Linked DNA regions of Coturnix japonica. The protein of the gene in region 1 binds, or shares a complex with, the protein of each later gene. Links are inferred from orthologs where the notes say so. Each region holds a gene or a part of one and is shown in the gene's direction. Other genes may lie near its edges.

What was found. The genes of interacting proteins can lie anywhere in the genome.
Region 2: MED26 (region 1) and MED7 share a complex: the UniProt entries of both Homo sapiens proteins name them as parts of the mediator complex. The link is inferred for Coturnix japonica from reciprocal best matches to the Homo sapiens genes MED26 and MED7.
Region 3: MED26 (region 1) and CCNC share a complex: the UniProt entries of both Homo sapiens proteins name them as parts of the mediator complex. The link is inferred for Coturnix japonica from reciprocal best matches to the Homo sapiens genes MED26 and CCNC.

Annotation. Positions count from the first base shown.
Region 1 is NC_029543.1:3,344,967-3,349,207, forward strand, and holds the start of MED26 (mediator of RNA polymerase II transcription subunit 26), read left to right. Parts: upstream 1-1,441; 5' UTR 1,442-2,170; coding exon 2,171-2,293; intron 2,294-4,241. UniProt on the Homo sapiens protein: Component of the Mediator complex, a coactivator involved in the regulated transcription of nearly all RNA polymerase II-dependent genes.
Region 2 is NC_029528.1:6,561,722-6,565,166, reverse strand, and holds MED7 (mediator of RNA polymerase II transcription subunit 7), read left to right. Parts: upstream 1-1,350; 5' UTR 1,351-1,456; intron 1,457-1,663; exon of another isoform or gene 1,664-1,691; intron 1,692-1,874; 5' UTR 1,875-1,892; coding exon 1,893-2,585; 3' UTR 2,586-2,945; downstream 2,946-3,445. UniProt on the Homo sapiens protein: Component of the Mediator complex, a coactivator involved in the regulated transcription of nearly all RNA polymerase II-dependent genes.
Region 3 is NC_029518.1:64,940,584-64,944,610, forward strand, and holds the start of CCNC (cyclin-C), read left to right. Parts: upstream 1-1,227; 5' UTR 1,228-1,326; coding exon 1,327-1,358; intron 1,359-1,965; coding exon 1,966-2,072; intron 2,073-4,027. UniProt on the Homo sapiens protein: Component of the Mediator complex, a coactivator involved in regulated gene transcription of nearly all RNA polymerase II-dependent genes.

The DNA of each region.
Region 1 (4,241 bases):
GCCCCCCGGCTGTCGGGCGCTCCGTCCATAAGGCCGCATTCACCCTCGGAGCTGCCTCGCGCTGCCAACGTGGGGGCTGGAGTGGGACGGGGCCGCTTCAACCGCAGCCGGCGGCGGATGGCGGCATTTCGGGCTCACGGAGCCGCGGCGCCGCGCTCCCCTCCCCCGCCCGCGCTCCTCCAGCCCCGCGGGTGACCCCGCCGCCGGGCGCACGCGCGCCGTGAGGCCGACTGCGCACGCGCGGCCGCCCCCCCTCCCGTCACGGAGCCCGCCGCGCACGCGCTCTGGGCGCCCGGCGGTGCGTGCGGAGGGACGTCAGGGGCGCGCCGTGCGTAACGGCGTCGGGCGTGTCCCATGGTGCCCTGCGCGGGGCTGGCTCCTGCCCACAGTTGAGTTCGGCCCCGAGCGGAGCAGTCGGGCCCGGCCCGGTCGCGCCGTCGCGGTTCTTCCGCGCCCCGCTCCGAGCGCCGCCGCCCCCCGCTCGGCGGGGAGCGAACATGCGACTCCGGCTCCCCGAGGAGGCCGCCGCCGCCGCCGGCGAGTGAGGAGCCGCCGCCCCGGCCCGGCCCGGCCCCGCCGCCCGCCCGCCCCGGCCGCAGCCGCCCCGCTTCGCCCAGGCAATGACAGCGGCTCCGGCCCCCTCCCCGCAGCAGATCAGGGACCGGCTGCTGCAGGCCATCGACCCGCAGAGCAACGTGAGTACGGCCCGCCGGGCCCGGGGCTCCCGACCGGCGGCGCGGGGACGCCGAGCTCCGGCCGCTCTCCGGCCCCGCCGCCGCCTCCCGCTGTGGGAACGAACGAACGCCGTGGGGCCGCGCGGCCGCCGCCGCCGCTTCTCCTCCTGCCGGGACCGCGGCGCGCCGCGCTCCTCCCCGGGCACCGGAAGCCTCCGCTGCGGGCGGTAGCGGCAGCTCCCGGCTCCGTGCTCGCCCACGGTCCCGTTCCCGGCGGCGCTTTTCCGCGCGCTCCCTCCGTGGAGCTCGGGGGTCTCTCCCCGTTTCCCCTCCGGCCGCGCTCTCCCTCCGCCCCGCGCCGTCTCCCGTCACTCCCGGCGCCGTCCGGCTGTGCCCGGCCATGCGGCGCGCGGCCCGGCGGCCTCCCCACGCCAGGCCGCGGCTCGGGTGCGGCCTGCAGGGGGCTCTGGGCCGGGCTGCGGACTCTCGCAGGGCGCCCACCTGTTCCGCGGCCCCTCCGCCGCCTCCCGCCGCAGACGCCGGGCCCGGGGCCGTCCCCGCGTTCTGGGGGCGCCCGGAGGGCTTCGAAGGTGGATCCGGGGCACTGGAGCGGCTCCGGCAGCGGGCAGCCTCGGTCTTCGCTTTTATCCTTCCCTGCAGAGCGCTAATGAGCTTATCTGCTCCTTCTGGGATGTAGAGTAAGCACGGGAGTCGACGTAGATTTTACCAGTAAGTGGTCTTCATGTGTAAGTCGTGGTAATCCAAAGTGTTATTTACTCCTTTTAAGGTTTTTTTTGGCATAGTAAAGCAGCTCTTCACATCCACGTTTACTACGGTGAGAGGACTGTGGGGTCTGCGGTCTGTCAGATTTATTCGATCTGAAATCCACATTTGCCATGGCAGTGCACAGAGCTGTGCTGCTCCCAGCTGTCTGTCGCAGGGCAGTCAGGGTGAGTCAGGCTGCAGCGTGCTGTGCTGTGCCAGGAGTGCACGAGATGGGCTCCGAGGTTCATTGGAGCTGTGCCTGCTTCTCTCTGAGCAAATCTCTCCCATAACAGACAGGTGTTGTGTTCTCCGAGTGGCTGATGAACTTACTGCTGTTTGGAAGCATCATGTAGCGCCATGCAAGTGATGTGAAAACTGAAAGATAAACCACTTTGTAATAGCCTGTTGTGATAAGCATTTGTCATGAGCTGCAGTATTACCAGCTTGAGTAACAGTAATGAATGATAAGGGTGATGGTGGGCTTTCAAGTCTCAGTTGTTGGAGTCTGTGGTCCTTTAACTTGGTAGATACGGAAACAATCTTTCCTGAGTTCTGTTTGCTCTGGGACTTGTGGCTGTGGGATTTTGGTTTTACCTTACACTCAGCATCAAGCTGGTTAAATACAGTTCTAATGGAGCAGTGGTTTCTTGTCACTTCAGACCTGCTGATGCTGGTTGCTCTGTTTCTGGGGTTACTTTCTAAAACGTTGTAGCTGTGTAGAGTTAAGAATTATGTTTTGTGATGAATGTGCTTCTTCCATGTGCGATGTCAGGTTGTGCTGTGGTGGTGGTATGGAGCAGGAGCTCTGCTGGGCAGGTCTGAGCATCAGGCAGCGCTCTGTGGGCCTGCAGCAGGTCAGTAGCCCCATAAGCTTAGAAGCAATGTATGTTAAATTATAATTCTACATACTTGATACTTATCCAGGGCAATAATTAGCGGTGGAAAAATCAGCCCATTGTTCAGAAATGCCTGTAGGCAGGGGGCTGTCTTCTATTTTAACCTCTTCTTCGAATGAGAACAGAAGTGGTGGAGTTGAGGTTCATCATACAGACTTGGACTTTTTTTTCCCAGCACATAGTAAGCAATAGATGGACAGGCAGAACTGCTGTGCTGTTTTAGTGAAAGGGAGAAAAATATGAGTTTTGAACGTTCTTAAAAGCAGATTGTGACTTAAATCTGACTTGATCTCCAATGTTGAAGTACAAGAGAGGCTGCTCTGTTGTCTCCCCACAGGAAGCAGTTGTGCAGCTCTGAGCTGCAGCACTTCTTGGTGCACAGGGAGAGTTGTGGCTCTTTTCTTCTGGCTTCTGGAGACTTTTCTTGAAAGAAGTGGTTGCATTCAAACTTAAAGCATTCATTATTGTGATTGACTTCCTTGTTTACTAAGAAAAAAGCTTTGAGGCCTGGATTTCTTTTGGACTTTTTGATGTGATTGTCGGTGCGGGTACGTGTGTGTCCCTGGAGAGGAGGGAGGGTGAAAACTGCACCAGATCTACCCAGCATGTGGCACAAGGATCAGTTTGGTGGGGCTGTGGAGGGGAGGTGGTTCTCATCACGCTTTGCTGTGGGGTGCTGTCAACTTCAGCTTTGCTGATATCTTCCCCAACACAACCCGCTTTCCCCTTGTGGATATTCAATCCAGTGGGACTGTGGAGGTCTTTGTGGTATGAGCAAATCTTGGATAAGTGTGAGGTCCTCTCAGAGAAGATCCTTCCTGTGGTGAGTTAAACAAGATGGCTCTTCCCCAGGTTGTTGGAACCCATGTGCTTTCAGAAGCTGTTCACTATTCTGATCATCTGTTTTAACCTCTGCTTGAAGCTCTGCTGACTTGGAGCGCTGCTTATATTGTACACACATTTAGCACTTGAGACCTCTTCTAGTATTTGCTGCAGAATGTTTTGATAACTTATTTTCACACACTTGGATCACTATTTATGTGATAAAGCTCTGTTTCAAAGGAGACCTGTAAGAAATAAGCTATTTAAAAAAAAAATTACATCATATTGGAAGCCACACGGGATGTCTGCTGTTACATCTCCATTTATTCAGCCTTTTCCCCTTGCAAAAACATATGGACAAACTACTTCTGCTCCATGACTTACACCCCATTTACCAGCATGGGGTCATTGGGAATGGACCCAGTCCTGTATTGGAGCAGGGAGTTGGGTGTTGTACCCCCAGCAGGGCAGTGTGATGTTCCTGCAGGGAAATCCTCCTCCTGGGAGGACTTTTTGGACAGCACAGCTGGGGAAGCGTCCGATGGGCTCTTGGAGCGGGCTTTTAGGGGAAAGGGCTCCCTGGTTCTGGTAGAAGCAGCACTTTTCTCTTTGGGCTCACTGTGCTGAGCAGAACCCCTCTGCTGGGTGAAGGCGCTCCAATGGGGCATCAGGAGTCTCATTGCCTGGTGGCAGGAATGGTGTGAGCTGTTCGCTTTTGCTCTGTGGGAAAGACTGTTAGAACTGTTCTCACAATTGCACAGGGTCCTCATCCCAAATATGTAGCAGCCTTTGTGTTTTGAATATTAGACAATAATTTAATTATTTACCATTAATAGCACTTGAAGGTGTGAGCCCAGCTCTGGTTTGAGGTCACCACCCCTCAGATGCTCACTGTATGGGTTGGGCTGCCTGCAGTCCAGGCTGCCGTGCACACTGAGCTCCATGGCTTTGCTGCTCGGCCTCTGGGAGATGTCTGCAGGCCAGAACATTAATGATGAATCCGTCTATGTGCTGTGCTATGTTACCTAGTGTTGGGTGATCTTCCAGTCTCATGGTTAGTGATGTTTCCACAGCTGTTTTCTGG
Region 2 (3,445 bases), on another chromosome or scaffold:
AAGTGGTGTTTGGGTTCATTCCAACAGATCTGTAGTAACTGAGCTGTATTATCACTGGTGGACTTGTCTTGGACAGTGTCCCTATTTGAGAAAACCACAGAAATGGAGTAGAAAGCAAAATTGAGAATGCTGTGTGTGGTACTCACCTTCATTCTCAGTCATCTCAGTCATACTACCAAGAATGAAAATGAAACCCCTTTTTCTTTTTGCATTTGTTGGCCTCTACGTGCAAACTAGGAAAATGACTCAAGATCAAAAGGACGTGTGAAAAACAAATGCTTGGCTCCCTGCTACCTTTTGAAGTCACAGCACTGAGAGCTGTACTGAGCAGTTCACAGAGTGCAAGGCAGCTGATAATCGAGCTCAGCTCGTGGTATGAGAATGTGAAATCAAAGTCTGGAAAGTCTAACAATAGCAAAGACTTGTTAATATCCCCCACCAGGTGGGTTTTCTCATTCCTCTCTAGAAGTGGTGCTTTTAACTCCTTGTCTGTGGGGTTTGGAGTTGCAACAGTTTGCTCTGCAAACCAACACCTGCCAATCCTACAAAGTAGTGAGAGTGCACTGAAGTAATATTTAGAAACAACTCTGCCCTTGATAGGGCACGTAGACAGCGGCTCTCTTACCCTTATTCCTTCTTATGAAGGAGGTTACTGCCATCTGCTGAGGAAAAAAGGAAATCAGAGCACAAAAGCCGCATTGCCAGACCAGTGGCCATCTGCAGAAGCGCTGCCAGCCAGCCCGAGGTCCCACGGCAATATGGAAGACACAGATAGTTGTTTTTTTCCTTAAAATCTGTCTTAAACAAAGAAATGGAAGAAAAGCAAGAAGTTCCATCGGTTTGTTGCAGACTTTATGCATCCAGGCTGCATGTGTTCAGCTATAGAAAGGATGCTAACACTTCCCAGGGTGATGCTTTCACTTTGTGATGGAATAACACCCAAATTTCTGTTGCATGGAAGCTCTACATATATTCCCTGCATCATTCAGCAGTTAAAGCATTGCCATCACACCGGCGGCTCCCCACGGTCTGGGCACTGAGCTCACCAGAGTCCAGGAAGCGTCTGAACGAGGGCAGTTCTACGAGTCTATGAAAGCAGTCCTGGAATACCAAATACTAAACACCAATTCATGCAGAAGTTGGTCTCACAGGGAGTCTGATGCCGACAAGAGTCGGGCCGGCCGCTCCCATCTCTGCCATTCGAGGATCTCTGCCATTAGAGGACCCTGCTGGGACCCCCGCTGAGATCCCTGCCGTGCCCCTGGCAGCCGCAATAGGGCGCCATAGCCCAGGCTGTGAGTGGAACGAGCTCCTGACTGGCATTGCGGGCATCCAACCAAAGTCTACGACGCCATTTGAGCTGCGAGCCAATGGAGGGGAGGAGGAAGGAGAGCAGTTGCCGGATGTGAGGTGTTGGTGTCGGTGGTGGCGGTGGTGTTTTCAGCGCGGTGTGCAGGTGAGTGGGGTGTTTTCTTTGGGCCTTGTGTGTAGGACCGGCCCAGCCTTTGTTTCTGTTCAGCATTGCGGCTTTGGGCCCTCCCGGAGCCGTGCTGTAGTGATGGGCCGGGGGGGAGGGGGGTGCTGCTTTAAGGGCTGCCTCTCCCTGCCTGCCGTTGTCTGCCGCTCCCAGCCCTGGGATGCGGGCTTAGCGGATCAGGCCTCTCCTTCCTTCTGTGCCTCCTCGTTGGCAGGTCTGGTTTGAGAAGTGCTTAATGTGCTGTGTATGTCAGTGCAAAGCTGACGTGGATTTATTGGGGAGTTTCCTGCTATTTGCGTGCTGAAGAATCTCCTGTCTGGTTTGTTTTCTTAGCTTCATGCGTGCTGTGGAGTTGTCGCATAAGTTATGTAATGCACGTTTCTTTTCTATCCACTAGGTATTTTAATCCCCAAAGATGGGTGAACCTCAGCAAGTGAGTGCCCTCCCTCCGCCTCCAATGCAGTATATAAAGGAATACACCGATGAAAACATACGCAAAGGTCTGGCCCCAAAGCCACCTCCACCTGTGAAAGACAGTTACATGATGTTTGGTAATCAGTTCCAGTGTGACGATTTAATTATCCGACCTTTGGAAAGCCAGGGTATTGAGCGGCTGCATCCCATGCAGTTTGATCACAAAAAGGAATTGAGGAAACTGAACATGTCTATCTTAGTCAACTTTTTGGATCTCTTGGATATCTTGATAAGGAGTCCGGGGAGTATAAAGCGAGAAGAGAAACTGGAGGACCTGAAACTGCTTTTTGTTCACGTCCATCATCTTATAAACGAGTACCGTCCTCACCAAGCTAGGGAGACCCTGCGAGTCATGATGGAAGTGCAGAAACGTCAGCGTCTGGAAACTGCAGAGCGATTTCAGAAGCATTTAGAGCGAGTTGTGGAGATGATTCAGAACTGCCTGGCGTCCTTGCCTGATGATCTTCCTCATTCAGAGGGGGGACTGGGAGTGAAAACAGAACCAATGGACACTGATGACGGCAACAACTGCATTGGACAGAGTGAAAAACAGAGAGAACGTTCTGGCTGCAAGAGAGATCAGGTGTTAGACAAAGATGCAGCTATGTGCAGCATTATTGATGAAATGACATGAAGGAATCGTGTCTTATGTTAACTTACAATAGAGAGAGGCCAAATGGATTCTGAGGGTACATGCTGTATTTTGTTTGAAGCGTTCACACTGACTTGGGGGGTGGGTGTGAGCTGCTAAGCAGGTGAGGATATTTAATATTTTGTGTGAGTTATATGTGTATTGGTCAAAACATAACTCTGCTTTGTGCAGCGTGGATGCTGTTAGGTTTTTTGTATAACGTTGTTTTGTCACTTGCAGCTTTCTGGGATGTGCTTCATTTTGTAAATGCCGTGTGCTGCTGGAAGCAGGGGGTTTGGCTGACTGAAATGGAAGCTGACAATTCCTGCATTTCAAATAAATGTTAGTTGTTTACACGTTAAATGGGTCTTTTCAGTTATTCTAGATTGAAGATGAAATCAATATGAAGCCTGAGAAATCCATTCCTTTCTAACTTTTTGTAGTAATGTAACAATGTTAAAGAACTTAAGAATTGCTTTATTACACATGTAATGTGGTGTAACTTGTCTGTGCCTGAAGTCTGTCAAATGGAAGCTACATCAGTTGTGTTTAAAGAGAACTGGACTTGGATCAAGCCCATGGCACAAAGAGTGATTTGATAATGGATAAGTGGCTTCGTTACTCAAGCCCTCCTGTCTGTAGCATGTCTGCTTTCCAAACTAGATGTAGCACCTTTAAAAAAAAGAGAGAAAGAAAAGAAACAATCAACTTTGTGGATGAGGGAACTTACTATAACTACTTGTAACTCTCGTTATGCAAATTATAACTTGGATAATTCAGCTGTTTTCAGGCATGCAGATTTATTTAAATGTGCAGGTAGATTTTAACCATTGGGTGGTGGGATTGAGATCGCTGTAGCTAAA
Region 3 (4,027 bases), on another chromosome or scaffold:
CCTCTGCACTTGGCAGCTCCTCAGGCACCTTCAGCATCTGAGCTATAAACCCAGAAATGGAGCAATGCACGGTCTGGTGGGCCTGGGTTTTCAGGGATCAGTGTGGGGACAAACACTGAGTTGGAATGGATAGGATGATCCTCCAGATACTAAGAGCCACGTTTATTATGTTCTTAACAATATGCTCATTGTGGAAAGCTTCTCAGAATCACAGAATCACAGAATTATCAAGGTTGGAAAAGACCTAGAAGATCATCTAGTCCAACCATTACCAATGCTTCCCAGCTAAATCATATTCCTCAGCACCACATCCAAGCGTTTCTTGAACACTCCCATGGTTGGTGACTCCATTACATCCCTGGGCAGTGCATTCCAATGCCTGGCTACTCTTTCCGAAAAGTAATACTTCCTAATGTCCAGCCTGAATCTCCCCTGACGCAGCTTAAAACCATTCCCTCTAGTTCTATCACTGATTACACGAGAGAAGAGGCCAACCCCCAGCTCACTACACCCTCCATTCAGGAAGTTATAGAGAGCTATAAGGTCTCCCTCCTCTTCTCCTCCTCTTCTGTTACATTTCACTGAATGAAGCAGTTTCCTGATGAAGGGTGGTGGTGCAGCGATGTTCAGCTCAGGCTGCCACAGCTGGGAGAGGTGTTTGAAGGGGTAGATGGAGATGGAGTGTGCAGCATGAGGAGAACCCCTATGGCGTGCACACAGCCAAGTCACACTTAGTGTTTTGAACAAATAAGTCTTGTCGGACCACACAAAGACAGTCTTCACATGCCCATGGGTGCTGACAGCTGTTAGCAGCACAGGGGAGCAGCCAGGAGTTTGCTCACCTTGCTGAGTCCCCTGTGACTGCTGACAGATATTCCGCCAGCTCCTGGTGGACAAGTGAGGTTCTCCCATGGTGTCCAGGCATCTTTCCCCCTTGTGACTCACCCTCGGGCTTGCGGGAGGGATGAGGGATGCAGGCACACCTGCACACTGTCAGGGTGCAGGAAATAACCCTCTCAACACTTACCATACCCTGAAATCATCGCTCTTTTTGCCTCCACCGCCCCGCCCAAGCGCAGGCCCAGGCCCAACCCCACACCCCACGCCGTCCCGGTGCCGTCGGGCATGTTGGGTGTCTCCCAGCGCTGACCCGGCCGGGCGGAACCCGCGTGCGGGGGAACGCTCAGCAGCGCCGCGTGTTGCCGCCCGGCGGCGGCGGCGCGGGCACGGGGCGGCAGCGGCCGCCTCCTTCCTGGTGCCGGCGCGGGGGCGGCGGCGCGGCGGGGCCGGGGTAGCGCAGGGCCCGGGCGCCTCCCACGGCTCCTCATGGCCGGGAACTTCTGGCAGAGCTCGCACTAGTGGGTGCCGCGGTCGGGGGCCGGGTGGGGGTGCCGCGTTTCGGCCGCTCGTTGACCGGCTGTAGGGTGCGGGGACGTTGGGGGCCTGCGGGGCGGGCCGGGTGGAAGCCCGGAGCCGGGCTCGGCTATGGGCCCGGCCTGCGGCTGTGAGTGGCTCTGGATCGGGGTGGTGGAGGTGGCCTGGCTGGGTGGCGGTCGGTACGTGTGCATGTGTCCCGGGTGCAGCTGGAGACTGCGGGTGGGATATATTTATCTTCAGCTGTGGCACGTTGAGGGTTGGGCTGTGTCAGAATACTGCATTGGGAGTACGCTGGGCTTTGAATGGATGCCCGGGGTGGACTAAATATAGCATAAAGCTTTCAAGTAATCAGTAGTGCACAACTTCTCTCCAGTCGGTTTGATTCTCTGTAGCTAAAGGATGATGTGAGTCCCTGCTGGTGTTTTTGCAGATGTCTAACTTGTAAACCCCTAGAGAATATTTGCTTGAGCAGATTGCCCATGGCTTGGCTAAAAGTCACTGGGCCTTAGCCCACAGTGGTAGCCCGTTGGTGCAGGAGGACGTGTAACATTGATGAAGAGTTACTGAAGTTAGTTTCCTTTCCTTCAGTTTACAATGGATTTTGGATAAACAAGATCTACTGAAGGAACGCCAAAAAGACTTGAAATTTCTGACTGAAGAAGAATATTGGAAGCTACAGATATTTTTTACTAATGGTAAAATTGTTCTTCTTTTATTTGTGCCATATAATTGTATAGTATCTGCTGTGCCCGGATGTAAGTGGCTTAGAGGATGTGGTTTTCTTTACTGCATTGCATATACTTTTCACAATGTGTTTTAACAATGAGTTGGAATGCCTGCAGCATTTGTTGTTCAGTTAACTGTATTAGCTCAGGAGAAATTACATATAACCTGGCTGCATATGTAATGTGTTAACCCGTGGTAGGGCAAAACACAGAGCACTTCTGATTTTCAGGAGGTTCTATTAAAAAAGGCACAGAACAAGAGAAGCAAGGAGAAGCTACTAAACTAGCATATTAAAGGCTCACTGATGAACAGCAATAATCAAACTGTGATCTGTGAGCTTCTGGTGGGTTATGTGGTAAGTATTTTAGCCAGTGTGTGCAGTCCTGTTAAAAAGCAAAGCTTGGAATCTTGTTATTTGTGTTCAGTTACACTCTCAGAAACTTGCACAGTGGCCCATATCTTGGCCCATGTGGCTGATTCCCCGGCAGTGGCTGGCTCTCAGATTGCACAGTGTTGTCTGCAGCCTGTTCTAAGGAGTTTGGGGCTTGTTTGTGAAGTTATCTAAGACGTGATCCTGCAAAGCATTTAACCCTATGAATAGCTGCATTGGAGTTTATCAGGTTATACAGACTCTTAAAGTCTTTCCTAAGCAATTGCCTGACATTAAAGGGATATTTACATGCAGGCAGCTATTTGAACATTTTTCATAGTTGTACATAGGAAGTACAAGACACTTATCATTTCAGCTATCTAGTCAGGCATACTTTAGACAGAAAAGTTAAATGACTTTGCCAAAGCCACTGGAAGAGCTTACCTTTATACTGGATTGTAACTGTGAAAGGCACTTAGCCCAGCTTCCTTCTTAGGTTAATGGTTTCTGCAATAATTGAGTATGCTCCAAGTCTGATTTCTGTTGGTATGTTTTCATTATTGCTTTTTCAGCACCAGAAAGCCAAGCAAACAATGATTTATCAGTTTGATCAATTCCTTATGTTCCTTGAGGTTAAAACAGTTTCCTAGCTTCCTAATGCAAAAAGAACAAATAGGATATTTTATATATATATATATAAAATGTTTGTTATATAAAATATATAACAAACTGATATTTTAAAAACTGTATTTGTGTTAATTTTCATTGGCATTAATTATGGAGTGTGCCCTTTTTTATGTTCCACTTTTTTCCTGAGAAAACACTTAGAAACTATGTAGGTTGCTCTGAAAATGATACCTCCCCGCTATTTATTTCCACAGAAACTATGACAGATACAAAGAGCACAATAGCCCTATTGGATAGAACAAATTCTCAGCTACAAAACGTTGTTTTTCAACATTCATCACTATTAGCTATGCATTTTCATGATCATCTAGAGCCAGATCGTCACACTTGTGAAAATCTGCAGCAGAGATGACCCACTGTTTCACAGCTGCTATGATGGCATTGTTGCTAGGAAAATGTTGTCCATGCAGTCCATCTTTCATCAGATCAGACAGGTAGAAATGAAAAGCTGCGAAGTCCAGAGTATACAATGACTGTTGTAGGACAGTCCAGTCAAGATTGACAGTGTGCTCTACAAAACTGGTATAGGACCTAGAATTATCATGTTGCGAGAGAAAGATTCATTTCTTTGTCATGACTATGGAGCCTTCACCTTAGTTAGCATCACAACATAGCTGTCAGAGGTGGTGGTTTCTCCAGGTTCCAGGAGGTCCATGGGGATCACCCCTTCCCTATCCCAAAAGGCAGTGCACATCTCTTTACCCATTGGCGCTCTGTCTTGAACTTCGATGGGGAATTCATATGTCACTGTATGGGAACTGTTGAATCACAGCCTTAACCCCTTATGGAGCGCCTGGGGAAAGAACCGATTAGCCCTGGGAGCACAGGTGAAGGCAATTCATATGTGTGACTGGAAGGGGTGGAGCC